4 linked regions of the Stegostoma tigrinum genome follow. The protein of the gene in region 4 purifies or fractionates together with the protein of the main gene of each other region. This does not show direct contact. Links are inferred from orthologs where the notes say so. Each region holds a gene or a part of one and is shown on either strand. Other genes may lie near its edges.

Region 1 (6,903 bases), on a different chromosome or scaffold from region 4:
AAGATCATTGTCCTTATTTCTACAACACTGGGCATCCTGCTTCACCTGGAATATAGCACTGTAGTATTTTTCTTTGCTGTCAGTGTTGAATTCACTATGACCTCTCTTCTAGGAACGTTCCTCTTGAAAATTTACCCCACCTCACTCCAAGGGATTTTCCATTTATTGCTTCCACCTTACTTAATTGAATTTTAGCTTCTCCTTGACCACGATCGTAAATCTGAAGCAAGGTCACAGACCTGAAATTTTAACTTTGTTTCTCTCTCCACAGCCGATATCAGGCCCGCTAAATATTTCCAGCGTTTTAAAAATTTTTGATTTTCAGTAACTGCAATGTTTTACATTCTTTTAAAATACTTCACATAAGGCAAGATAATAGTTCAAGAGACATTTTTTTAAAAATAGAAAGACAGACAATCTAAAAAATCCATCAGAATAAATCTGTTCTGAGAGGAGGAATATACAGGGGGAAGAAATGATGTTACAGGTATTGTCTCTGATTTAGTAATCCAGAAACCCAAGTAATGTTCTAGGTTCCAGGACAGAGGGTGGAATTTGATTTCAATGAAATCTGGAATTGTCAATTCCATTCTCAATTGTCATAAGATAAAAACCTTTCTGGATCATGAGTTTTCTTTAGGAATGGAAATCTGGTATCCTTACTTGATCCATCTAAAATGTAACTCCACAAAAAAGAAATGTGTTTGATTCCCAGTTGTCCTTTGAATTGGCCTAGGAAGCCTTTCAATTGTATCAAATCATTTAAAAAAATCTCAAAAGAAAATGAAATCACACTAACCATCTGGCATTGAACTAAACATAGGAAATTACAGCAGTAAAGTTAGCCCCGTTGACCCTGTAAAGTCCTTCTTACCAATATTCGGGCACTTGTTCAAAACTTGGAGAACTGACTTACAAGCAGCAGTTTGACAAAGTCAAAACCATGTAAACATACCTTGATGACAATGTCTCAGATACTATCCCCACTCTGGGCATATTCTGTCTTATCAGAATGAGAGCAGAGGTGGTGGCACAGTGACATGCCCTGGGAGTCCATAAGACCATAAGACATAGGAGTGGAAGTATGGCCATTTGGCCCATCAAGTCCACTCCGCCATTTAAATCATGGCTGATGGGCATTTCAACTTCCCTGCACTTTCCTGTAACCCTTGATTCCTTGTGAGATCAAGAATTTGTTGATCTCTGCCTTGAAGGCATCTAACGTCCCGGCCTCCACTGCACTCCATGGCAATGAATTCCACAAGTCCACGACTCTCTGGCTGAAGAAATGTCATCCCATTTCCGTTTTAAATCTAACCCCTCTAATTCTAAGGCTGTGCCCATGGGTCCTGGTCTCCTCGCCTAACGGAAACAACTTCCCAGTGTCCACCCCTTCTAAGCCATACATTATCTTGTAAGTTTCTATTAGATCTCCCCTCAACCTTCTAAACTCTAATGAGTATAATCCCAGGATCCTTAGTCGTTCATCAGTCCTCAATGTTGATTCTGGATCACACGAAGTCTCATTGCATCTGATAAAACATGGACAAGGATATCTCCTATTGATTACCAAATATCACCCCCATCAGACGATGATTCAGTATTCCTCCACGTTGAATTTGGGAGGAAGCAAAGAAGGTGGAAAGGATGCTGAATCTGCTCTGGTAGGAGACTTCAACTTCCAGCACCAAAAAACATATTTGTTTTTCCTTGATCCTTACCAATCTGCCTGTGTGAAATATCTGTCATCGGCAGAATTAGCAGGAGTGACCACTGCAAAATCTTTGTGGAGATGAAGTCCCATCTCCATACTGAAGATACCTTCCATCATGTTGTATGGCACTACCAAATGGGATAGACTGCGCACATATCTGCCACGTTCAGTGGTGAACAGTGGTAGACAATTAAACAACTCATTGAAGGAGCTGGTGCCACAAGTATCCCCATCAACAATGGGGAAGGCCACAGCATTGGTGAAAAGGGTAAGACTTAAGTGCCTGAAACACTCTAGTCAAAAATGCTAAGTGGATGATCCATCTCAGCCTTCTTCTGAGGTTCCCAGGGTCACAATTCACTCCATGTGACACCAATATATGGTAGAAGACACTGGATACTGCTAAAGCTATGGGTCCTGGTAATGTTCCCAGAATAGAACTGAATTTGTCACATCCCAAGTGAAGACCTTTGAGTGTAGCTGCAACACTGATCCTTAGACATCACATTCTAAACCCATGACCACTACTGACTAGAACAACAGCAAGAGATATGTGGAAACACCACCACCTGTAAGCTTTCCTCCAAACTTACTCATTGTTTTGACTTGGAAATATATCATTGTTCCTTCACTGTCACAGGGTCAAAAATCATGGAGCTTCCTTCCTAATAGCATTTTGAGGGTATCTACACCAAATGGATTGCAGCAGTTCAAGACAGCAGCTCACCACCACCTTCGAGGGCAACTAGGGATACATTATAAATGCTGGTCCAGCCAGCAATGCCCACGTTCCATCAATGAATAAAAAATAACTCCATTCAGACGTTTTCTAGCTGTTTGATGTAAATTTATTATTGCAGTTGACAATGTAAGCAGAATACTTTGAAATAAAACAAAGAACTGTGGATGCTGGAAATCTGAAACTCAAATAGAAAGTGCTGAAGAAGGGTCTCTGGACACAAAATACTAACCATGCTTTCCCTCCACAGATGCTGCCAGACTTGCTGAGTTTCTCCAGCAATTTCCATTTGTGCAGAGTACCTTTCCTGTTATAATTTCAATACCATTATTTTCAGCTATCTGAGGTTGATCTAAGGTATGTCATTTATCATTGGTATAAGTTCCTAATGTAATGAGGATTGTGTGTTACAATCTGGCTATGTTAAAAGTGGGAACAGAAAGAACTGATTGTGGATTCTGAAGGGCGCTTACAAAAACCTACATCTCACCAGTTTGATAATTAATTCTGAAGTGCCACAGTTTCACACAAATTACTAGCCTGACAACACTGAACTTTAATCTTGTTTATCCAGCTTTAAAGTACAATAGGTATCTTTTTAACATGCCATTTGACAGATAGATTTAGTTACCAGCATTCAGAGGATGTTACCAAAATTCTTTCTTAGTGGATTTTTTTGCTGAGTTCTAGCCAAATGAGCATATTGAAGAAAATAGAAGACCTTATTCTGTAGGTTCAGTAAATGCAGATGCTGACCAATATTCCATAATTGAGTATTCTTCAAGCAAGATGCTGTTAATAATATGGGCCCAGGAAAAGTGTTGTAGAAAAAACTACAAGTGTTCCATAATGACAATGACTTCAACAACTTGGATTCTATAAACGCCCTCCACAATTGTTCTTATCAAGCGTATTTATAATGCATGGGGAGGGCGAAGAAGAGAGAGAGAAAGCTGCAACTTAACCGAGGTGTCTGAATTAATAAATGCTTTACAGAAAGAGAAAATGGAAGAAGAACTTTAGGATACAATCTACTCATGTATGTACACAAACAAAGCACAGACGTATGGTACATACAACTGAAATATTTTTTAAAAACTCTTCATATGTTTTACACATTATATTCTCCTCCTGCAAATATTGAGCAAAAGGCATTTTTCCTTCTCGGAAGCGACAATTAATAAATCTGACCATTACCTGTAGCCAAAGCCTTCCCCAAACAGGAACTAGCTGCAACCCAAAGCACCTTTTCTAAAAAGCGTGTTTCAATATCAAGCAGCTGATTCGGTAGGATATCGTCTGAGTATTTACGGAGCGCTAGGAAGCGGAATTGTTTAACTGCATACGAGCCTCAGTATTTTTTAAACGTTTTTTGTTTTTGCCTTTTATTGTGTAATTCCTTAAACGGTAAATGTAATTTTACAGTTGTGGTGAATGTGCGGCTGGGCGCTGACGTGTGTTGGCGGGTGATTTATTTCTCATTTTGCTTCAAGCTCTGTTGTTGTGGGAGAGCGATGGCCAGGCCGGTGAGGTGAGTGGATTTAACTGGGTATGATCGAGGAGATAGGCCCGGAATATGGAGGCGACATCCTGGGGTGTGGGGGAAATGGTGGACCTTGGGAGAGGCTTGGTGGCGGGGAGAGACCCGACGGTGGTATGTTCACATTCAGGACGAGGGAACATTGCTCCACAAAAGACCAGTCGTAGAATTTAGTACATGGTGTGCAGGACTGCAGAAATTATATTTGAAAATTCTCTAATCTGTGCTGGCATTTCAGCTATTAGACGAGTTCACATTGTCAAATCCAGATAGACTTCTAGGTTTGACAGAAATTAAATATGCAGATAAACACATTCTGAGAAGAAATGTCAGAAACACGATAAAATAAATATACTTGGAAAGCAGTGTTTTCCATCTGTTTTCATGTTGCAAATGGGGCAATCAGCCATTCAAAAGAAAATGGAAGTCTTAATGTCATTAAAGATCAAGATGTAGGTGCGAAAGAAGAATTTGAATGAGGAGAAATAAGGACAGAAATGCTTTTGTTGAATTCTAGAAGCTAAGAGAATTTGGGACTTACATTAGACAAATGAACCCCATAAATGCACAGAGTTCAGTCAAGTAATGTTTCAGGTGTGATTCAAAGTAACATTGCACCATGAATTAGCATGAAAAGTATGGTAGAATATTCAAAGATTCAGAAGAAGAATGTGGATACATGGATCAAAGAGGGGCCTTTTTATGGTCGTAAGAAGTTTCAGCCCAATGACGAATGTGTTGGTGGCAGAATCTTTCAGTTGATTAGTATTAGACAGCTAGTGAGTTTTGAGAAGGTTTGTAGCTCAGCTGCAGAAAAAACTAGACAAACTCACACAAAATAACAACACAGAAGCATGGATAAAAAACTTATCTGACTGACCATTAACAGATACTGAAACAGCCGATTTAGTAAGAGGATTAAATTACAATTTCCGGAATGTGGACAAGAACTGAGCTACAAAGTATTAGATGGTGGCTGTAGGTCTGCACTGGGTGAAGTAGATGATTAAATTGGTACCTATACTCTCTGATAAATAAGGGTTGGACCAAAGGCAAGGAATTTGAGATTCTACCAGCTTCACATTTGGAGAAAATAACGTACAAAATCTTGTTTTAAAAAGAGTAATTACTCCTTGTAAAATAGCTATAATTAAATCATTTTTTCAGTGTTCCATTCAATACTGATGTTATTGAGTAAGCCTTTGATAAAAATAAGTGTATATGAAACTGGATATGGAAAGTAAGAAAGTCAATGGATTTGGAAAATCCTGTAACTTTGCAATTTATGCTGGTCAGATACTACTAAGTAAATTATTTTGAAGAAGTGTTATTGACATCAGGGGATAGAAATTTAAAAGACTAATAGTTAATTGTGTTAAAACAACGTGGGCAATTTGTTGATGCCTCCGCCAAAAGGTTAAAAATTTTAGTAAATGATTCAGGAACACGGAATGAGGAATGTTACAAGTTTGTCGAAGTGTTAAGTAATAGATGTAAGATATTGAAGGACGCTGTCATGCCTCCAGTAGGTCTGCTGTGAGCAAGGTACTTCATCGAGATAGTGGTAATGGACATAAAGATGTGGGATAAGAATGAAAAATGTTACATATAGGTTTGGCAACCAGATTGAATCAATCAACAATAACACATAGTAAAAATATGAAAATAATTATGGATCAAGTAATGAAAATGGGGGTGGGACTGGACGTGGACTGAGAATGAGTATCTGAGAATGGGGGGTAATTTGCCCGTGATAAATTACAAGATATATGCAGAAATATGAACTTAACAGTTCTGAATATGACAGCAGGAAGCCATTTTACCGACAGGCTATGTGAAAGGAACTATGCAGTAATAGACAAAATGATTCATTGTTTATGATTTGGTCTGCCAAAATTCTATCGTCTGCACGAGCATGGCTGGCAATGTCAAGAATTCACTGCAGATGATCGTAAAATATAGTCCAAATCATTTAGTAGTTGTTACATATCGTTAAGTTCTATCCATTATAAGTCATCAGCACCCAGCTTGTGAAGGGTCTACAATTAACTTTACTGTGTTGAACATTTGAAGGCACTACATGCAGGCAGACAGGCTTTTAATAAAGTGACAGTTTCACAAAGGATCCAGCAATCTTTAAAGTATGGTGTAAAGCTATTGGAAACCAGTTTCAATCAAGGAGATGTTGTTTATTATGAAAGAGAGGGGCATAAATAGTAGTGGAATCGTAGAATCTCTAGAGTGTGAAAGCAAGCCATTTGGCCCATGAGTCCACACCAATCATCTGAAGACCATCCCAACCAGACCCACTGTCCTATCCTATACTTGTAACCCTACCTTTCCCACAGCTAGTCATCCGAGCCTACACATTCCTGGACAATTTATCATAGCCAATTCACCTAACTTGAATATCTTTGAACTGTGGGAGCAAACATGCACAGACACGGGAAGAATGTGCAAACTCCACACAGACAGTTGCCATAGGATGGAATCGAACCTGGGATCCCTAGCACAATGAGATGGCAGTGCTAACCACTGAGCCACTGATGCCTAGGAAAGGTTATTGGTAAGGATGGAGAAACAATATTTGTATAGCAAGGGACAAGGTTGCTTGGGAACATCGTTCAAGAATTGCTTGGTGTAAATTTCAAATTTATAGATTCTAAAGGAGTTAAAGAACAGGATAGGGGATCCTGATACTTCTCGTGACCATATATTACACAGCTATGTGGATCAGACTTTTAACATTGACAATTTGTTTACTGAAGGATGGACTAATTCAGATTATCAAAAGGACAGCTACCAAAGTGGGTACGAAAGTCATATTTGTGCCACAAGGGGCTAGTCAGTGGAAAAACTGGACTATAATTAGGAGATTGAGTAAGGCCACTGGAGAGTATAACACCTTTA
Region 2 (7,615 bases), on a different chromosome or scaffold from region 4:
TGATCTTTAGCTATTCATGGAAAGATCACATTAAGAATTTGGCAGTGCACTTTGCGACCACAGAAGGCAAAGTTGGTCATAAAATTTGGCAAAAACAGAATTTACATAGGCAGAAGTGACATTCTTAAGGCCCAACATTGGATACAGGCAGATGACACGGAGAAACAAGATGAAGGCCATCGGGGAATTTTCAAGATCGTCCTTGAAGAAAGAAGTGCTACAATTTTTAGGATTGAGTGGATTGTACAGTAAATTTGTACCAAACTTTAGTAGCGTGGTAGTACCGTTGATAGATTTGTTAAAAAAAACACAAAATTTCAGAGGACAGAACAATGCTAGGAGGCATTTGAGAATTTAAAAAAGTGTTAACCACCACACCAGTTTTCATCATGCCAAATTTTTTTGAAACGCTTCAAAGTCACCATCAGCGCAAACAATGTAGGTGTTGAAGCTGTGATTACAGGATGATGAATGTGGAATAGAAAGGTCAATCGGTTATTTTTCAAAAAAACTCAATATCCACCAGAAAAAATAATCCGTCATTGAAAAAGTTACTGATTTTAGTAATGTTCTTACATTTTAAATTTTCCATTGCAAACAATGCAGAGATAATGGTGTATCACAATCCATTGACATTTCTGGAAAGATTTAAGGACATGAACACCAGATTATTTTGTTGGGAGTCTCACATTACATGCATTTAATTTACAGATTGCACATGTTGCAGGTCATGGAAATATTATTGTTGATGCTTTATTATGAGTTTAAAAGACAAATGCATATAAGATAGAAACCGTAGTGTTCAATTTAACACTAATTCTATTTATTACCGTGTATTAACTAGATTAATGACCTATGGATCCAATAATGTAATGGAGTTAAGGTTTCTTAAAAAGAGAAGCCATCTTTTCGTAATGATGGCTCATTTTTAATGGCAGAACAAGGTGTTGTGAAGTTGAATAGAACACTTGTGGATTGGGAGGCAATACTTAGAATTTGGTGTTTCTAAACTGCTGGGGGCGGGGGGAGCATTGTGTGGTCCCTTTAAAATATCATGCACTTTTTCTGTGCTTAGACTTTTAAAATGGACATCAGCGAGCAGCAGCTTGAAAGTTTGCAAATACACAGAGCACCGAAATTGAAACATTTGTGTTCAAAGTTAGCAGACCAAGCAGCAGTTTTTACTAAGACAACAGACTTCTGAATTTAGCCAAATTTGAACCAGATACTTAAATACCAAAAACCCACTAAGTTTAATTCTGATGGCTCTGACATCATAGGACCAATTCTATTTTAAGAAATATTGGTATGTCGTTAAGGATATAAAAGACAGGGGCAGTTGGGCAAAGACTTCAGAGGTAAACAGGTCTCAGCTCTCAGAATTACTGGGTCTCACAGCCTCCTCTACGTCTTAGGAGAAACCACCATCTAAATAACAACAGTATCAACGGCACATCGAGTTACCATTCCTGTCAGAAGAATTGACGGAGAAAGCATAGAATATACCGGAAGACATGTAACTTGGGCTGTAATTGAGAGTCTAAATTCTAGTTTTTATATTAGTGGGATATGTATTTATTAGAACTGCATACCATCAGAATCTTGCTTCATTCGGGAATATGAAGGGATTTATTCCATTTGTTAATAGTTCAGTTAATTTGTTCACTGTTAGAGTTAGACAAATAAATTGTACTTGTTGATTTTAAAATGAGTGTCAGGGATTTATCTTAATTAACCAGTAGAAGTTGTTGAAAGGCAGGTTACACCACTTTTCACAATGCTTTTCCAGATTATGGGGTGAGGTGGAGGTGCTCCTTTTTGGGTGTTTTGGTTTTAGTATGTGGGGAAGTGGGGAGGTTCAACCTCTGCTTCATAACAGTGGAAATACAGTCACCTCCTCACATAAAATGTCCAAAACGTTACAAAAAATGCACTGTGAAGATAGTCCAATACTCTAGACTTTGTTTCAGAGAATCCTGCGAAGCTGAACTGTAATTTTCTCTTACATTTCAATGAAGAAGTCCTACTTAACTTAAAATCTCCCTCAACCACCTGCAGTTATGTCACCATATTTACACAATTCTGGCAAGTAAAAGGTGTTCATTTTCATCATCTTCTTCCAACTCAGAATTAGTCACAGTCTGGTCTCTGGTATGCCTTAATTTGTTCTGTAGATTAGCCGTCAGGAGTGTTCAGACAGCACACGTTTGGACTATCCTCTCCTGTAGATGACAATGGTGAAGTAGCAGCACTCAGGCTACTGGCCCACAGGCTCATCCACTCATTTCTTTTTTTTTGTTTTTCTACACCTATCAAAAAATCTACATTTTTGTCTCAGTTGCAGCAGCAGTGAGAGCAAGCACTGTGCAGAATGACAGATGAATATGGTGGTGCAGGTCTGGGGCGGGGTGAGGCCAAGTAAATATTGAAGGAGGCTGCGTCCAACAGCAGGAACACCACAATGAGGCAGATGGGGGTCCACCCAAGCCCTCCCGGCGAGTGAGGATCAGGTCCTACTTTTAAAACCCCAGCTGTGATTTGTGGACTGAACCAAGGCTCCAGGTCCACTGCTAGGCCCAAGTGACTCATGGCAGAAGCAGTAACAAGTTTGGTCCCAGCGGCACAGGAGGTAGCTGCATCCGTGAGGTTGGCTCAACATGATTTCATGCAGTGGCGACTTTGGTGGAGGTGAGATGGCACTGGAGCATGGCAATGCTTTGTTCCAGTGGCAACAGCATGGTGAAGCGTGGCTGCAGCTGTGTCGTTGGCTGGGACTGGAGGAGCCTGGATTAAGGCCATGGCTGAACTAAATGCAGGTGGTGCTCCAAAGACCACCTATCTTCATTGAATTAAGACTATAAAATGAACTTGGTTTTATTTTTCTGGCTTTATATTCTGTATTTTGGCTTACTTTCCATGTTTTAAGATGGTACTGGCAAGTGGTGACACTAAGCAACACTTCACTGTATTTATTATAAATACACATGACAATATGTAAATCGAAATAAATTTTGCCAGACATCACCTGAGCTCCCGCTTTTCTGCATAGGGAATCTACTAGGGTCAGAGGCTAGTACAGAAGACAAGAACAAGATCCAGCAGGGATTCCTAACAAAACAATCATAATTGATTCAATTTCCAATACGTAGATCAACACTGCTAGAATGACGTCTTCATAACCTCAAGACAGATTACAGCAACCTCCTTCAGTGCAAAAATCTGCTTCCAGCTAGTAAAACTAAAATTCCTCGCCTTATTTATTGGTCTAATCTTTATTATAAAGTCAAAAATGTTTGTACGAACTCTGCTCTTTAAATTTAACACAGCAAGACGGTTTTTAAAAGAAAACGCACAGACTAAAGTCAGATGAGGGGAAAAAAAACGCACAATAAGTCCCTACATGAAGACTAAAAATGAAAAGAGAAGACGAGAAACTCCCATACCAGTTACCGGAGAGGTTCGCAGCGCCAATCTGGCAAAGTATTTCCTATCAGAGAGCGTTGCACGCCGCTTACAGTAGACGAATGGACGAAGCAGACCCAACTTCTAACTTTTCCAAGAGATAGTAGGAACTGCCGATGCTGGAGAATCTGACATAACAAGGTGTAGAGCTGGATGAACACAACAGGCCAAGCAGCCTGCTAGACGTTTCGGGTCTGGACGCATCTTTTTAATTCAGATTTCCGTGAAAGGGTCAGCTGAAACGTCAGCTTTCCTGCTCCTCTCAGGCTGCCTGGCCTGCTGTGTTCATCCAGCTCCACACCTTGTTGACTAACGTTTCCAAGCTGCTATCAGTTCTGAAGGGTCACTAGGCTCGAAATATTAACTCTCCTCTGTGTACGGACATTACCAGTCCTACTGAGTTTCTCCAGTCACTTCTGTTTTTTTGAGACAACCAGCATCTGCAGTTCACAGATTCATGGAAACACACGGCAAAGGGAAAAGTCCCACGGCCTATCGGATCCGCGCAGGTTTAAAATACAACCAGCTAACTATTCGAAATCCTCTTTCCAACACCTGGCCCATAGCTTTGCGTGCCTTGGTATCGCAAGTGCACATCTATGTACTTCTTAAATGTTATGAAGGTTTCCGCCCCTGTCACCTTAATGAGCTGCAGCTTCCGACCACACGGTGAAAAATATTTCTCTCACACCCCCCTCTACTAAACCTCCTTCCTCTTACGTTTAATTTATACCTCTGCCTTTGCTTTTAATTCAAAAGGTGAAGATTTTTCCCTACCTACACTCTACTTCAACAAAAAAAAATGCATCATTTACTAACCGAACATCAGCTCATGCTGAAGTAACGCCGATGATGAGAGGGGAGTGTCCCGCTGTCGTTGCTCAGCTCTGTCGCTCGCGCTCTGACAGGGCACAGCCCAGGGCCTAACGGTCGCCTCCCCGCGTCATTCGGGGCGGGGCGTTGCTCATGATTGACAGCGACCGGGAGCCAATCCGTTGATGGTCTTGCCCCCGAGTGCGCGGGGCGGAGCCAGGCCTATCCGGGGCGGGAACGGAGGCGGGGATCAGTCTCGGATTGACAGGCGAGCGCTGCCGGCTGTTGGGGAAGGGCGGCGGGTCAAAGGTCAGACTCAGTTGGCGCCATTTCTCGGGGTTTCGGGCGCGTCTTTCAAAGAGATTTTATGTCTTTACCCCCCCTCCCCCGTCCCGACTCCCGTTTTAGGAGGGGTGGGGGGAATATTCAAGGCAACGGGTAGAGTAACAATTAATTGGGAGTTTCAGTCTCATGTTTTTCGTAAAAGGTGTAGCGTAAATTTGATCTGATGTGATTGATTGTTTTGTTTTCATTTTTAAAAGAAAGCAAATTATAAGAAGAGGCCTCTCGGGTGAGGGCCCCACTAATGTTGTAAAAGGGGGCCACCGAAATGTGTGTTCACAGATTTCGACCTGAGGTTTCTTAAAGGCGAGTATTTGGCTTTGAATATGGCTGTCTGATCTGTTAGTATTTGTTGGAGACACTTGTTTCCATAATCAGAAATGCGTTTTATATCATTATCTCTTTGTAAACATGAAAAAAAATGACAACTTACTTAACCTATATATTGTTGAATGCCTGTCCAAGATAACCAGCTGGAGCTCTTTGCTATTAATGTTCTTCACTGGTCTTTTATCAGGTTTGTGAATGCCCAGGGTAGGGGAAGATTAAACTGATATGGTTGGGATTATTGCTATGGCCAGAATGGTGGAGGAACATGATCAGGTGAGACTATTTGGATTGTCATTTAACTTCCTTTCAAATGTCTTTTTGGACGTAAAATTGAAATAGTTGTTGTCATTCACATTGGAGTGTACTGTACTTCACGTTTGTTGATGATCTACTACAACTCACTGATTACATAGGCAGTAATAGTGTTGCAGTCATTATAATAAATGACTTCTATAAAAGTCACTTTGGATCAAAGGGGTGCCATACTGTGTCATTTGGAGATTTTATGACGAACCAAGGAACTGAAAAGCCTTCAGCTGGAAAAGCAGCAGAACTGACTGAGATAATCAAGGAAAGTAAGAAGCTTCCCAAGACAGTGATTAATTTTGTTTGTTTGTTTTACAGCCGTGCAAGAAACAGAAGAAAGATGCAGAGGATTCCTACACAAAAACAATTACAAGCTACTTTTCACCAGTATCCAAATCCCTCGACATGGCCTGCCCATCACCCAAGTCCGGTAACATAATGGATTACTTCAAGAAAACTCCTGGACAAAATGTTGCTTCAGTTGCATCGAGTGAATGTGAACGAAAGAATTCAGCGGTAATATCTGTAGACTACAGTAGGGAATCAGTTGTAGTCTCTGAGGGGAAACACCAAATCTCCAAAAGGAAAAGACTCAGTAGAAGAACTAACTTAAGCCGGAAATTGAATGAATGCCGCAAGATTGTTGAAATCAATGATTCTAGTAACTGTAGTGTTGGAGAGGTGTGTGACGTAAGGTCAGGCATTGGAGTTCTTGGCAGTGATACAGCTGCATTGATTGCTCAGCTTTGTGCAGAAAGCCAAGATATATTTAAAGAGAATGAGGAAAGTGTTTATATGAGTTCCAGTACTCTACAAAGAGAGATAAAAGGACAGAACAGAAAGGACACTTGCAATGAAGTTGTCAGCCATTCAAGTAAAAGAATCACCAAAAAAACACGGAAACGAAAGGCTTTGAGTAAACCTGAAGGTTCTTCAGAACAGTCCGATGTTGAACTTGTGACAAAGGATGATTACTGTGAGGAGGGGATCGAAGTAGCAAAGTCTAAAGGGGCTACTATCCCCATGGTTCTTGAAAATGAAAAAATACATTTCAGTGAGACAGGTTTGGAACCACCAGCCAATGAGACTCCTCAGGCAAATGACAGCACTGTTACTGTGTCATTCGAAGATTTTATGAAGGACCAAGGAACTGAAGAGCCTTCAGCTGAAAAAGCAGCAGAGGCCAACTCTGAGATAATTGAGGAACGTAACAAGCTTCCCAATTTAATAGAAGACATGAGTTCAGTTTCTCCTCAGCCAATCTCCCCAAAAACTGTTACTGTCCATGTTCAAATTCACTCTAGTCCTCTAGCTACCTCAGCTCAAAATTCCAAAGTGAAACAGAAAAAAATAGCCTCAATTTTTTTGAGAAAGAAAGCAGACTCTGAAAGTGAAGTGATTGAAATCCAACAGCTGAGCCCACATCCTGCTGAGAGCCATGATTCAGTTCCTGCAAGGAGATCCAATGTGGTGATAGCAGAGGAGGAGTTGGAGCTATTGGTATTGGATGCCACCGAAAAGAGTCCTATGAAGGCCAAGTGTAGTCGAGCTGAAAGGGAACAATTTATGAATGCTTTCAGGCGACCGCCCTCTTCAGATCAGGCAAAAAATGCACTTAAAAGGGTAACGCAGAAGTCAAAAGCCTCCAAGCAAGGTTTAGCACAAGGTGAAGGTAGTGATGATGAGCCCAATCTTGAGAAGGGAAAAGGGGAATTCGTCCAGACTACAAATGCTGAGATATCAAGCCAAGTCTGCAAAGATTCAAGGGTGGAAAGCAGAGAGTCTGTAGGTGCAACTTTGAAGAAGAAGAAAATGTTAAAACTCAGAAAACTTAGAGCTGAATGTAAAAACCTAGATAGTTGTGAAACAACGGGAGAAGAATTTAATCCTGATCTGAATCTGGGCTGTGTCACAAGTAAAGAATCCAGAGACCGAATGCCTTTGGATCTAACAACAGCGCGTTCAAATGAAACTTGTAGAACTACACGGAGGAGCCTTAGACAGCAAAGAGATGCTTTAGACAATTGCCAGACACCACATAAAGCCATTGGAGTGGATTGTCTGGGCATTCCAGCTTGTCAGTCAACTCCAAAATTGAAACATTGGTCTTCCAAAGAAAATAGCTTCTACAAAGCAGAAATGATTCCCATGACCTGTAGCAAAAGCCCAATCAGGTGATGTGATTTCAAATCTCCACACTATTGCAGTGTTGATTGTAGCTGGAATGGTTCAGCAACATTTAAATGAAAGATGACCCTTATTCTACTAGCTGTAGAGATTTGCTAACTTTGCCAATGACTTTAACTGCATATTGTTGCATCTGTTTAGAATGTGTGGTTTAACGAAAGGTGGATACATGTGC
Region 3 (6,946 bases), about 140 Mb from region 4:
ACTTGCTGAGTTTCAGGTGGTTAAGCCACCACTTTAAAGGGCCATTCCTTGGTAATGTGCAGCATTGTTTGTGGCTTTCAGTGGTTCTATCTATGGATCCAGCTGTCTACAAATGATCTAAATTGGCTCATGGTCTCATCTATACTTAGCTTTATGACCCCTAAAGTTTTGGAGTAGATTTGTAGCTCGGGTTGTGGGTGGTCGGCTCACCAAGCTGGTTTTGTTCTGTAGACGTTTCATTACCCTGCTGCGTAACATCATAAGTGCAGCCTCCAATGAAGCACTGGTGTGTTTTCCTGCCTGGTTTTTATGACCCCTTCCTGCACTACCATTCCTTCAAAATCTTTGTTCCATTTTACTTTGGCCTCTTGTGTATTTAACCCACTTTTTTTGCCCCACAACTGGCATTAGTTCCTTCAGCCATCTCTAACCAAGTAGTTGGTAGCATCTATTATTATGTTCTTTGGTTCAAAGTCTGCTTTCTGGCTACACTTTGAAATGCCTTTGCGTGCTTTTCTAATCTTAAAAGTGCTATGTAAATCTCTGGTCTTGCTGATTTGACTTAATTTGTTAGAGTAAGCATTTTCAATTTATTTTAATATAAAACTAAATTACCAGGTTTGAGTCATTTATATATCAATAATTCCTTTATAATAACGATCCTTTTGGTGCTGCATTAGCATTGAAACATATGTTATTGCCATCTGTTTCTTCTTTTTAAGTTTCATAAAACAGTAGCTAGCAAAGGTTCAGCCACTGCACAAAAAGCCAAAATTTGGAAAAGTATTTGTATAATCTGCATTTGTAGATATGCGTTGAATAACTCTGGTCAAAAGAGTTCATTACTATTCTGTGCAGCTGTGTTATATTAAACAAAATAATATATTGTACACATTATAATTTTGTAGTCTGTGAGCAGGCAGCGGGAAAGTTTTCAACTGAGTTACTGTCCACTGTATGGAATTAGAATTGTGCCCATTACCATAATTTATTCACTCTCTAAAAGGAATGCTTGCTTAAGACAGTTTTATTTTTTGATCTACTGTTGTCACACATACCTAGATGCAGTGAAAAGTGTATTTTGTGTACTATACAGGCAGATTGTACCATACAAAGTGCATCAGGGTAGTAGAACAGTGCAGAATTGTAATTTTACAGGTGCAGAGAGATGGATCAGAATTCTATTTTAAAGTTCTGATATAACTATGGGGGGGCGGGGGGGGGGGATTGTTTTTGAATCTGTTGGTACATGTTTTCAAACTTTTGCATCTTCTGCCCGATGGAAGATGGTGGAAGAAAGTATAACTGGGATGGTAGGTGTCTTTTGATTATGTTGATTGCTTTCCCAAGGCAACAGGAAGTGTAGATGGAGTCAGACCTGCTGAGTGTTTAGCAACTTTGTTTTTGTTCAATAGACAGAAGGCTTGTTTACATGACGGACTCTGCAGTTTTGTGCAGTATTGGAAAGAGCCGTTGCCATATGCTGTGATGCATCCAGATAGAATGCTTTCTATGGTGCATCTATAAAAATTTGCAAGAGTCCTTATGAACATACCAGATTTTCTTAACTTCCTCAGGAAGTTGAGATGTTGTGTTTCTTGACTGGTTTTAACTGATGTAATGAAGATTTTTTAAAATTCTGGTCATATGAACTGCAGAAAAGACCATTTCAGTCCCAAGGAAAAGACTGGAGGATAACAGTGAAAGTGTAAGCAAAGCCAAAGTAACAATAAATACATTTAATAAAATATCCCTAATTTCATAGACTTATAGGCAAGTATAGTCTTATGCCAAGGTTTATGAAATTTCCAAATTATGGGGGTTGCATTTGGTGGGTTTGAGGACCAAATGTTTCCAGAAGATTAACCCCCTCTTTAATTGATCTCTCCTCTCCTGCAACCAGACCCAAATGCTGTGTTAATGACTGAGTGACAGAAAACTGCCCCACTGCCCTGTATATGCAACTTCCTGCTTTACAATGCCCATTTCTAGACTGCTACTAAGGCTGCTCATTCTCAAAACTAAATATGCAGAATTAGTGTTGCTTAAATGTTGCATGGCACAGTACATCAGTATTTTCTGAGGAATGAGAGGTCTCTTTAAAGGTAATTCATTTTGTTGTTTAAACTGTAGATAGATCGACATGACCATTAGAAAGTGAGCACTACAACTGTCTCTGAATACCACTAATTCACATCTGCAAGGCTGGGTCACCAAATAAAACCTGTATTCAAGTAGGTACATTTATTAGGCCCAGAACCAAGCTTCTGGAGGGCAGTTAGTCACTGTTTTATAAATTGTAGATGCTAACTTGTACACAAGTTAGCTCTGTTTTCTGCAATAAAACGTGAAAATTGCTGGAGAAACTCACCACGTCTAGCGGTATCGGGGCAGAGATGCAGAGAAAACAGTGTTAGCGTTCGAGTCCAGTAAGCCTTCGTCTTAACACTGGCCTCGAAACATTCACTTTTTTTTTTCTACACAGACGCTACCCGACCTGCTGGGTTTCTCGAGCGATTTCGGTTTGTTTCAGAGCTCCAGCAAATGCAGTCCTGTGATTTTTAATACGGTGTCGATCCGGCTGAACACAGCAGGCCAAGCAGCATCAGAGGAGCAGGAAGGCTGACGTTTCGGGTCTGGACCCTTCATCAGGGGGAAAAAAAACTGCGATTTTGAGTGAAATGCTCATTGAAATACGATCCCGATGCAGTTCTTTCGATCTGAAGGCTAGTACATCTGTTTCTTTCCCTAGGAAGTATTCTGGCGTAGTGACAGAATAGAATATTCATCAAAACTGAAGTTCGTTGAGTTACCGAAACTGGTTAACATTCCGCGACAGGCCGAATTGGGTATTCCCAGTGGTAGTGAGGAACATAACTTCCAGCAGCTGGTACTTTGAGTTGTCAAGTTAAATGAACTTTGCAGATAAGATTGTGAAGCAAACGGGTTCGGATCCGCTGGGCTGTTTTGGTTTTAGAAACTTCCTCACATTGCCCCGAGCTGCAACAGAAATGTCCTGCTCTTACATCATTAAGTATAATATAACATCGGATATCTGTGGGTCGATTTCAAACGCCCCCCAGGCCCGTTTTCTCATTGAACACCTCGCCGGTGTTGGTCGGAACGAGCGCACCGCTTCACGGGAGTTGTAGTTCGCTCTTCCCCATCCGACCCAGGGAGACCGACGTTCTTGTTTTGGGAAGGACTACAAATCTCGGGGTGCTCTTTGCGCTGCGTGTGCCGCCCCCAGAAATTGGGGGTGAGAGCGGGGGAAGCAAAAGTCGCTTCTCAACGGCCAGGTCACGAGAGGACACCACCAGCAGCCGCCAACCCCACCTTCCAGAGCGTTAGAATTTATAAATATTCATCTTCCCAGCCCTGCCCCCTCGTAACAAAATAAAAGACGATTTTTACTTGTGGTCTTGTTTGACCATAGATATGTTCCATTTTTCAAAAAAATGTATATAAAGAGACATTTATATGTATATCCCCTGAAGATAAGAAATGTGAGAGAAAAGGGAAGGCGGTAATGAATATTCATGAGGAAAGGGGGCGGGTGTCTTAAATTAATATTCATGAGGCACCAGCCGTTGGCCGGAATAAGAGGAGGGGAATTGGGGAAGGGGTTGGTTTAAGGTAGATGGGGTGACGGAAGGATTCGGTTTCAGATGATTGGTAGGGGAGCTTTTGGTTTAAAGTGGAGGGAAGGTTGGGTTTAAGGGGACGGTGAAGGGTGCGGGAGGGGTCGGCTGAGGCGGAGGGGGTCAGTTGAACGGTTTGGGGCGTGATCGACCGAGGGCGTGGGGTTGTTCTGAGGGGGGCGGAGTCCGTTGGGGGCGCGGGGTCAGTTGATGGGGAGAGGTCGGTTGAAGGGGAGGGGTCGGTTGGGGGGGCGGGCTCTGAATCGTTGATGGGACTGAGCCCGCCTTCTCCCGCTCAGCGTTGTTCGGCGGCGCTCGAGCGTCTCTTGCACGTTTATGGCGATAGGAAACTGGATCTCCTGAGGGAGGAAAAAAAACCAGTGACACTCCCAAAATGCTGTCATTAGGCCCGAATTCAAGGAGATAAGACGTGTCTCGGACTGGCTTTTGATAAAATAATCCTTCGTGTGTGTTTTATATGTCTATGTATATTGTGCGTGTGAAAAAACAACAAAAAACTGTTTTGGGGAACATGGAAGCCGCGTTGGTTCGCGATCTCCAGAGAGAGCGCTCGCCTGTTTCGAGGTGTAAAAGCGTGAAAGTGAACGGCTGCGGCAGTACCGTGAGCGCCGAGGAGGTGCAGCGACTGGATTCCTGCAGGGAAGGCGGAGGTGGGTGCAGCGGATCAGGGCAAATTCCGCTGCCTTCCAGCGCCGCGGCCACCTTGCACCCTCAGCCCAAGCCTGGTAACCGTAGCTGGAACAACAACTCCAACTCGCTGCTGTCCAGGAGGAGACTGAGGAGGAACCTCTCGGCCACCGCTGCCGCCTCTTCCTCCGGTCACGGCCGCAGCTTGGACCGCAGGAAGATGCCGGGCACCAAGCTGACTGCGGCCGACCGGGAATGGGTCCGAGCCGATGTGCAGAGGGGCTGCCTGCATCTCTACGATAGGCACATGTCCTCCTACCTGAGACCTGTCATCTGCACCCTGGACACCACCGCGGCCGAGGTCGCCGCCAAGTTGCTGCATCCTGGTCGCACAGGGGCAGGGTGTATACCAAAGGCAAATGGTGTGGGCATGACCAGCTTGACCCCTGTGCACAACGCTGGCGGTGCCAGATCGGGGACATCAAGGAGCACCGGTGCCAGGCCAGGACGGGGCTCTTTGGTCACGTCGGGACAAACCGAGACATCGAACATCAGATCGTCAGACATTGCTGCTCACGGAAAACCGGGATTGTCACTAGTCACTGCTGGCCAACACTTAAATATCGATATTGTCCGTAATGAGAAAGCTAATACTACCCTTGCCAGGTTAGGGACGCCACTGGATAATCAGAATACCACACAAAAGGAAGTAAATATAACGAGTGGCACACAGGTGTACTTAGCACCAGCCACTGCCAAAGACGGACCAAAATCTGATACTGAAATTTACAGGCTTCGATCTTCATTGAATAATAATACCAATCAACTGAAATCGTCAAACCATTGTTTCAAATTGATGGCTTTGGAAAATGCTGCGAGGCCATCGCTGAAAAGCACCAAGGTGCATTATGAAAATGTAAATAGTGATACCATAAATGACACTGTGGTCAAGGTAGAAAGTGTGGACAGACCTGAGTTGAGGAGTGATTCCCTTACTGGTGAAGGTCGGCTGAAGTCTTCAATTCCTGACACTTTGGGAATGCAGGTTACTGATGGTTTGCTCACATCAATGGTTTATGTTCAACTTCATGGCGAAACTACCAGAAGGCTGGAGCCACATGAAAACCCCCTTGAAATACAAAATGAGTACCTCTTTAAACTGGGGTTCAAAGATCCAAGTAGGGTGCAGGAGGAGGGAATGGACGTTGAAATTGGCTGTCTGATTCGATTTTATGCAGGTATGATTTTCTTAGGTGATAGCGATTATTAGCTGTGAACTTCCTTTCCCAGAGCAGAATTGGAATGCTACCTGTTAGCAATGTTAAAATCGATAACTTTTTATAGATTTACTCTCAGCACTAAACTAAATGTTTTTTCCTGATGTATTCTGAGACATATTCGGAGAAACATCATTGCAAGTATAGTAAAAATATTCAGTGACGGTTTAGGATTTTAAAGCAACAAAAACCTTTTGGTTTTTATTTTATTATTCTTCTAGAAATAAAGGAAAATGGTAGAAAAAGATGTTTGGTTGGCTGCAGTGACTCAGTTTACTGACGTATCTTTTAGACCAGGCAAGATGGGGATTGGGATCACAAATGCGGTTGCAAATGCTGAGATAACAATGGCTATGATGGAACTTATCAGCTGTACCTCTGCTTTTGTAGGACCCCTCACTCTCAGTTCTCACCGACTGGTCATGACAATTTTACAGCCTTGAAATAGTGTGACTGTGGGAAAATTTTTGGGAATCACTTTTTTAAAAAGATAATGGTAGTAGCCATTCTTACAGATGGTGAAAAGTGAAACTACAGTCATCTGTAATTGGCAGAAAGGTGAGGACTTCTGTTTGTAATGTTAGGTACAGTGATTTTTAAAAGCACCAACAGTGAGTAATTGAAATATTGTTTAACTGACATGAACAAAGTGCTTTAAAGAAAGCATTAACATTTACTTCAATTGATGGCGAATATTATAACTGTAACTGCTGAGATTTTAAAAAGAACATGGCACTGATGAAGCCATAAGTGAGTCAGATGTATGTTGTTCTTGTGCAAGTGTTTAAAGCCGCCATGAAATTCAAGAGGAATGTTATATTGCTGTTTGCATACTTTACATTTCGATTTGTTGCCTCTTTAATGTTTGTGTAGTTGGATTGGCATTCAAGAGTGCTTCGAATGGGTTTGTTTTTTAATGCAGAGTGCTGTTTGTGTTAAGGGTTTAAATAATGCAGTGAAACTGCTTGACTCACTTCCAGAATATGCTACACAAAAGATACTAGTGCTGAGGATAGCTGACAACACTGGTGACTACTCTTCGCTTTATTGTCACTACAGATGGTTATTACGTTCTTCCCAATGCACAAAAACACTCCCTCCTACATGATCAGTGATCTTGTGCTTTGCTTGATAACATGACAATCTCCTTTGTACTCGTATCAAGTTTATTCACAATATTTATAATTTGTGCCATATCTGGCTTGCAGATATGCTGTGAAAGCAATTAATGTGCTTAATGTGTGATGTTATTGAGCTAATCTTTTTGCATGCTTGATTTTTCATGACAGAGCATAAAATAAATATTTCAGTTTACCAGACCATGCCCTATAACTGTACCTGCGTTACAACAGAATCACAGAATTGCTGTGGTGCAGGAGG
Region 4 (7,945 bases):
TTTGAGCTTTCCCCCCTCATCTTAAATGTACGTCCCCTAGTGTTAGATATTTCAACTCTGGGAAAGAGATTCTGAACATCAATACTGCATGTGCATCTCATAATTTTATGGACTTCTATCAAATCTCCCCTCAGCTTCCGCAGCTCCAGAGAAAACAACCCAAGTTTTTCTAGCCTCTCTATAGGTCATACCTTCTAATCCAGGCAACATTCTAGTAAACCTCTTCTGCACCCTCTCCACAGCCTCATCCTTCCTGTAGTGTGGTGACCAGAATTGAACACAGTACTCTTAAGTGTGTGTCCTAACCAAACACTTATAAAACTGCAACATGACATCCTGACTCTTGTACTCAGTTCCCTGACCAATAAAGGCAAGCATGCCATATGCCTTCTTTACCACCCAGCTACTTGCATGACTGCTTTCAGGGAGCTATGGACTTGAATCCCAAGATCGTTCTGTACATCAATTCTGTTCAGAGTCCTGCCATTAACTGTATACTTTTCCTTAGTATTTGATTTCCCAAAGTGTAGTTACTCACACTTATCCAGATTAAACTCCATCTGCAATTTCTCTGCCCACATCTGCGACTGATCTATATCCTGCTGTATACTTTGAAAACCTTCTACACTATCGACAACTGTATCGAACTTCGTATCATCCGCAAACTTACTAACCCAACTCCCAACATTTTTATCCAGGTCATTTATATATATATCACAAACGGCAGAGGTCACTGTGTGGATCTCTGTGGAACACCACTAGTCACTGACCTTCAGCCAGAAAAACATCCTTCCACCACTACCCCCTGCCTTCTATGGGTAAGCCAATTCTGAATCCATGTGGCCAAGTCACCATGGATCCCATGTATCTTAATCTTCTGAGTGAGCCTACCATGAGGGACCTTGTCAAAAGCCTTACTAAAGTCCATGTAGACAACACCCATTGCTCTAACCTCATCAATCACCTTCATCATCTCCTTGAAAAATTGAATTAAGTTAGTCAGACATGACCTGCCCTGCACAAAGCCATGCTGACTGTCCTTAATTAGGCCGTGCTTTTCTATATGTGATTTATGTAAATTTCGAAAGCCTTTGACATGGTCCCACATGGAAGGCTGCTCCAACAGACCCAATGGGATCCAAGGCAGGTTGGCAAAATGGATTCAAAATTGGCTTGCAAATGGGAGGCAAAGGATGATGGTGGAGGGTGTTTCGTAATTGTAAGCCTGTGACTAGTGGTGCACCACAGGGATCAGTGCTGGGACCCTTGTTGATTGTTAAGTATATTAGCAATTTGGATGTGAATGTAAAAGGTGTAATTAGTAAGTTTGCAGATGGTACAAAAACTGGTGGTGTTGTCGACACTGAGATGGATGGTCTGAGGTTATAGTCTGATATTGGTCAGCTGGTAAATTTGGCGGAGCAATGGCAGATGGAATTTGATCCTGATAAGTGCGAGGTGATGCATTTTGGGAGGTTTTATAGGGGAAGGATATACACAGTGAATGGTAGCTCCCTAGGGAGTACTGAGCAACAAAGAAACCTTGGTATACAAGTCCACAGGTCCCTGAAAATGTCAGTACAAGTAGATAGGGCAGGGATGAAGGCATACGGGATGCTTGCCTTCGTTACCAAGAGAGAAGACCAGAAGCAGAGAACTTCATAGAGCATTGGTTAGGCTACAGATGGAATGCTGTGTGTAATACTGGTGTCCACTCTATCGAAAGGATGTGATTGAACTGGAGAGGGTGCAGAGGAGATTCACCGGGATGTTGTCTGGGATGGAAAGTCTCAGTTATGAGGACAGGCTGGATAAAATGGGTAATGTTCCTTGGAGCTGAAGAGGCTAAGGCATACCTGATTGAAGCATACAAAATTACGTGAGGTATAGATAGAGCATATTGTAAGAATATTTTTCCACATGGCAGAAGGCTGGGGTTATTTTCCCTGGAGTGTTGGATGCTGAGAGGTCACGTCATAGAGGTTTATAAAGCCATGAGAGGCATGGATAGGGTAAATAGTCAAGGTCTTTTCCCTGGGGTGGGGGAGTCCAAAACTAGAGGGTGTAGGTTTACGGTAAGAGGAGAAAGATTTAAAAAGGATCGAAGGGGCACCTATTTCATGCAGAGGGTCGTGCGTGTGTGAAAGGAGCTGCAGAGGAAGTGGTACAGGGTTATCTCTGATCACAATTATAGCCTCACTGCGAAGCATCTTCCAGGGATGCCTAACCTGAAGAAGTTACCCTCCTCCCTCCGGACCAACCTCAGGAAATCTCTCTCCCACTGCAACTCTCTTGTAATTCGGTCCACCTCCCCCTCTCTCCCTATTTATTCCAGTTCCCTCTCCCCATCCCCCTCTCTAATGAAGGGTCTAGGCCCGAAACGTCAGCTTTTGTGCTCCTGAGATGCTGCTTGGCCTGCTGTGTTCATCCAGCTCCAAACTTTGTTATCTTGGATTCTCCAGCATCTGCAGTTCCCATTATCTCGACTTGAGGAAATGTTTCTTTTTGCCAAGAGGGTGGTATAGATGTTGGGGAGGCAATGGCCTAATGGCATTGTCGCTGGACTGTTAATCCAGAGACCCAGATAATGCTCTGGGGACCAGGATTCAAATCACGGCTGGTGGAATTTGAATTCAATAAATATCAGGAATTAAGAATCTAATGAAGACCATGAATCCATTGTCGACTATCAGGAGAAACCCATCTGGTCACTAATATCCTTTAGGGAAGGAAACTGCCATCCTTACCTGGTCTGGCCTACATGTGACACCAGACCCACAGCAATGTGATTAACACTTAACTGCCCTCTGGGCAACTGTGTTGAGCAATAAATGCTGCCTAACCAGCAACACCCTCATCCCGTGAAAGAATAAAGGAAAAAAGATATAAATGTGCTGCCTGAGAGAGTGATGGAAGCAGGAAGTCTCACAACATTTAAGAAGCATTTGGACTGGCACACAAAACGTCAGGGCATAGCAGGCTGTGGACCAAGTGCTGGTAAAAGGGATTAGCGTAGTTTGATGTTTGGTGGCTGAAGGGCCTGTTTCTACACTCTAAGACTCTATGACTATGGCCTATTCCTACTCAAGCGTAACTGGAAAACTCTTGTCATTTTTTATGTATTGAGTCCACTCAGGTATGCCACAGGTCTCTATGCTTGTCTGAGAGTGTCCTCAGCTATATACTGATCTCAGTAATGCTGAAAGAACTGGTCCAAGCCTGTCTTGTAGACATTAGAACTCTCATTTCCAAGTTTTCCTCATTTCTTCCTTGGGCCCCATTTACAGCACATCGACAAAGTACAAATTACAAACAGAAAGTGTTGGAGATATTCAACCAGGGCTAGGCCAGTATTTATTGCCCATCCCTAATGCCCAGAGGGCAAAGGCAACCACATTGCTGTGGGTTTGGAGTCAAATGTAGGTTAGACAAGGTAAGGATAACAGTTTCTTTCCCTAAAATAGCCAGATGATTTTATTTCTGACAATCAACAACAGTTTAATGTCGCCATCAGACTCTTCATTCCAGTTTTTTTTACTGAATTCAAATTCCACCATCTGCAATGTTGGGATTCAAACAAGATATCCTAAATTAATCTAGTCCCATTCGTCAGCATTCTCTAAACCCTTCCTATTCACATATCCATCGAGATGACTTTTAAATGTTGTAATTGTACCAGCTCCTCACCACTTCTTCTGGTAGCTCATTCTATATACGTACCAGTGTCTACATGAAAAAGTTGCCCTTTAGGTCCCTTTTAAATCTTTCCCCTCTCATCTTAAACCTATGTCCTCTAACTTTGGACTCCCTTCACCCCAGGGAAAAGACCTTGTCCCCAGAACATTACCTAGGTCTCCAGATTAACAGTCCAGCATTAATACCACAAGACCATCCAGGTCAATAGACTCCAGAGTTTAAAAACCAGACAGGATAGCACACCGATGCTTCATCAGAGGCTGCACTGAGGATGTTACCCAACATGGTAAGGAAATGTCTGCGGAACAACAAACCAGCTCAGCGAGCCAACCAACCTCAACACCCACAATCCAAGCTACAAATCTATTCCAAAACCTTAGAGGCCATCATCTTCCCCAGAAGGATAAGTGGTCTCAAAGTTTTGGTTATGGTTTGTCTTCAACAAACACAGGGAGTGCTGGAGAAACCTAGCAGGTCCACCAGCATCTGCTGCCTCACAGTGCCAGGAACCTGGTTTCGATTCCACCCTCGGGTGACTGTGAGGAGTTTGCACATTCTCCCCGTGTCTGCGTGAGTTTCCTTAGAGTGCTCTGGTTTCCTTCCACAATCCAAAGATTTGCAAGCTAGGTGGATTGGCCATGCTAAATTGCCCGTAGTGTCCAAGGATGTTTAAGTTAGGCAGGTGAGACATGGGGAATGCAGGAGGTGGGAGATGGGTCTAGGTGGGACACTCTTTGGAGGGGCAGTGTGAGCTTGTTGGGCTGAATGGTGTGTTTCTATACTGTAGGGATTCTATGAGCAGAAACAGTCAACGTTTCGAGTCTGGTATGGAATGCATTCAGAAGTGATATCGGAGTTGAAACATTAACAGTTCTGCTCTCCACAGAGGCTGCCAGACTTGCTGAATGCATCTGGCTTTTACCTCGGTGTTTGATTCAGATTTCCAGCAGCCACAGTATCTTGCCAAGGTTTTACTTCACACCGTAAGATACTTTAGTGCAGAAGTTGGCTCAGTTTTGCAGATGCTGGCCATTTTAATGTTTGTTTTGTTTTAATTTCAGATTCCTGGCATCATCTCGTAGCATGCTTGGTTACACATTGATGGGATAATTTGAGGGAGGTGTGTCAATGCGTGCGTGTCACTGACTGGGAGAGACAATGCCTCCAGGTGAGGAGGGCCCTACCTGCTGGCCCCGCCCACTCACTTCCGCCCGCCGCCGGACAGGAAGTGACGTCGCGGTGTCAACATGCAAAATGGCGGCCCATCATCGGCAGAATACCGCGGCCCGGAGGAAAGTCCAGGTGAGGGGCCTGCGCGACCGTCTCGGTCCCTGCTTCCCCGACCGCCCGGATGGGAGCCGCCACCTTCCTCACTTCCCGCTCCCCGGCGCCTCTCCACAGCCCTGCCCAAATCCAGCGCTTGCAGCCGCGATCGGGAGGAGGGAGAGGGGAAGAGGAGAGGCGATTAAGGGGGGTGGGAGGGAGAGAAGGGAGTGGAGGAGAGGGGATGTGGGATGGGGAGGAGAAGGGACGGGGAGTTGTTGGGAGGGGGTAAAAGAGAGCAGATTGGGGAAGTTGTGGGTCTGGAGGGAGGGGATGTGGGAAAGTGGTCAGGAAAGAGAGAGAAAGGGGCTGGGGATGGGATAGAGAAAGCAAGATGGGAGAGTGAGGCACTTTGTGGGGAGAGGGGTTCACGGCCTGTGCTAGGGCCCTCTTCCCAAATCTCCCCAACCCCCTTTTTTTTGCTGTCCCCACCCTGGTCCACTGTCATGTTTGCAATATTCTAGTTTTTCTGGAAACCAGTCCTTTCTTGCTGAACTTTTGTGTCCAGGAGTCATCTGTGATCTGCTGTTTGTTTTATTGTAAGACTTAATGTTAGAGATTTGAAACAAAAAAAAATCACTGGAAAAACATGGTAGGTGAGGAGAAAACAGAGTTAATGTGTCTGACCCTTCTTGAGAACTGATTAATTCTGAGCTATCACTCTTTGGGACCTGTGTTTCAGTGGTTTCAGCTTCATCTGCTTTCTCTCCCATCAATTTAGTTTTGTTTGTACAGTTTCCTTTGTATTCTGTGTGGCAGTGGTTTGTTGAGTACTTTTGAAGTAGGGAGGGAAGAGCCTCCTTTGGCACAGAAACACACTAGCATAACCCAAAGTGGGCCAGATGGCCTGTGTTTGCTGTGAGTTCTGTTAAGACTTTTAAATGGTATTATGCCTGTGCATTACTTGTAGCCTGTTGCTTCAAATTGCTGGTATCAATTACTCCATCAGCAGCAGTGCTGCAGTTATTTCATCATACTGATGTTCTTTTGCTCAGTATCCTAGATTTTGCACCTCAGTTTGTGTACTTTCAGGTAAGTGATCTTTTGCAAGTTTCCTGTGCAAAATGTAAGTCTTCACTATTATCTTCATCTGCAGTTCATATATTTTTCAAACTTACCTTGTATTTCAGAAGACCCAACATGCACTCTGTAGAAGGGCAGAATAATCTGTAGTGTTTGAATACCTGAATGGCTTGATTTGCAATTAGAATCACAAATTGTGCATTTTTTCATTAAGTTTGTTGGACCATGGAATGTGTTGTCAAAAAATGTGGTTGCACCTTGTCAGGGAAATTTGTACGAATCTTTGAAACAGTAGAGTGCATGGCAATGGGGAGAAAGTGGTACTCAGATGAATAATAAGTTGCTTTTGCAGAGCACAAGTGCCTGCACTTTTGGGAGCTATAGGGCTTCTCTTGTGATGTAAACGTCCATGGTTCCTTTATAGTCAAGATAGAGATGTTTTCTGAAGTTTGTGCGATGACACTTAGGTAACTGGTTTTCTGTGAATGAACATGTTAAGCTCTGTGAGGATTAATATTCTGGTTTGCTTTGCTATCTATTTAAGTGTTGATTTAAAACTAATTTGGTTTTGAAATAAACTGTAGAAAATCCTCTTGCTTCCAGTGACATTGACAAACTGTTGAGCTTTTGTTAAATGCTTTATGAATTTGTCTGTACTACTTTTTTTATCTTGACATCCTGCAACCTCTTCAGCGAGCCAGTATTGCACATTCCGAAATGTACCAAGTGCAAAACAAGGAAACGGTTCGTAGTCACGGAGGTATTGTGCTGGGCAGTTCTAAATGGGTCTACAAAGGGTGTCATGACGGGCTATGCAAAAGACTTGAGAAATTGCTACCAAGGCTGAAGGCATCGTTTATGCTGAATGATTCAAGAAGCTGATAAAGCATTAGCTGCTGAGGTGATTTGGTGGCCTACATGTAGAGGGAAACATCCAATATTTTATTGTGGTCTTTCTTCGTCAGAAGTAGCCCCAGCCTTAACTATTAACTTTTTTCCCCTCTCTTGTCACACAGTTGTAGACTTATTAAATATTGCCAGAGTTTTGTTATTTTCAGCTTTCAGTATGTGCAGTCTGTTTAAGCTGTGATTTTTCTCAGACGAGAGTTGACAGCTTCTGATCTGTTCAAGATTGTCAGGGTTTTGGATAGAGCAGGTAGGAATTGTTACCTTATCTAGATAATGGGAACTTAGAATCCATAGGTTTAAAATAACTGGCAAAAGAATTAGAAGGGAAATTACAAATGTTAGTACATGTGGTTGTAAAAACCTGGAATGCACGGTTTGATAGGGTAGTGGAATGAGATTCCATAGGCAGTCAAATAAAAGCAAAAAGTAAGCTACAAAGTATGAATCTGAAATAAAAGCAGAAAATGCTGGCGCACCTCCCCATGTCTGGTACAATCTGTGGAGACAGTAACAGAGTCAATGTTAAGTCCAATATGACTGAGTCCTATTGGATTCAAAACATTAATTCTATTTTTTCTTCTCCATAGATGCTGCAAGTCATGAGTTACTTAACAACATTTTCTGTTTTTATTTTGAAAGGCAATTTAGATTTGAATTTAAAGGATACAGATTTGCAGGGAGCTGATGAAAAGGCAGAATTGTGGGGCTAGATTGGACAGGTCTTTTTTAAAAAAAAGACCTGTCCAATTCTCTTCCTTTTGGTCCAGCCATATTCCATGATTCTGCGCTATGCAACCAGCGCATTTTTGATGCAGTATGACAACTTTGGATGTCGTCATATTGTCTGGTTGTGGCCTCTGCTGTTTGGTTTGCATTTTAACATGTAGAGATTCAGGTCCTGTTGTTACAGCTGACATTGAGTCTGAAACAGTTTGTGATAGCAAATGTGTTACTGACAGCAGATAAAAATCACTATATAATGGTCCTGGAAACA

What was found.
Region 1: the proteins of WD repeat-containing protein 48 (region 4) and rad51ap1 purify together in Homo sapiens (affinity purification with mass spectrometry; 5 studies listed by BioGRID and IntAct, counting the BioPlex papers as one, with this or other methods). This does not show direct contact. The link is inferred for Stegostoma tigrinum from reciprocal best matches to the Homo sapiens genes WDR48 and RAD51AP1.
Region 2: the proteins of WD repeat-containing protein 48 (region 4) and atad5a purify together in Homo sapiens (affinity purification with western blotting; 3 studies listed by BioGRID). This does not show direct contact. The link is inferred for Stegostoma tigrinum from reciprocal best matches to the Homo sapiens genes WDR48 and ATAD5.
Region 3: the proteins of WD repeat-containing protein 48 (region 4) and phlpp1 purify together in Homo sapiens (affinity purification with mass spectrometry; 5 studies listed by BioGRID and IntAct, with this or other methods). This does not show direct contact. The link is inferred for Stegostoma tigrinum from reciprocal best matches to the Homo sapiens genes WDR48 and PHLPP1.

Annotation. Positions count from the first base shown.
Region 1 is NC_081378.1:34,615,570-34,622,472, reverse strand, and holds the start of rad51ap1 (RAD51-associated protein 1), read left to right. Parts: upstream 1-3,885; 5' UTR 3,886-3,967; coding exon 3,968-3,984; intron 3,985-6,903. UniProt on the Homo sapiens protein: Structure-specific DNA-binding protein involved in DNA repair by promoting RAD51-mediated homologous recombination.
Region 2 is NC_081375.1:3,872,875-3,880,489, reverse strand, and holds the start of atad5a (ATPase family AAA domain-containing protein 5), read left to right. Parts: upstream 1-4,609; 5' UTR 4,610-4,923; intron 4,924-5,134; 5' UTR 5,135-5,172; coding exon 5,173-5,220; intron 5,221-5,571; coding exon 5,572-7,427; intron 7,428-7,615. UniProt on the Homo sapiens protein: Has an important role in DNA replication and in maintaining genome integrity during replication stress.
Region 3 is NC_081355.1:6,235,495-6,242,440, forward strand, and holds the start of phlpp1 (PH domain leucine-rich repeat protein phosphatase 1), read left to right. Parts: upstream 1-3,946; 5' UTR 3,947-4,119; coding exon 4,120-5,527; intron 5,528-6,946. UniProt on the Homo sapiens protein: Protein phosphatase involved in regulation of Akt and PKC signaling.
Region 4 is NC_081355.1:148,392,436-148,400,380, reverse strand, and holds the start of WD repeat-containing protein 48, read left to right. Parts: upstream 1-4,924; 5' UTR 4,925-4,950; coding exon 4,951-4,998; intron 4,999-7,945. UniProt on the Homo sapiens protein: Regulator of deubiquitinating complexes, which acts as a strong activator of USP1, USP12 and USP46. Enhances the USP1-mediated deubiquitination of FANCD2; USP1 being almost inactive by itself.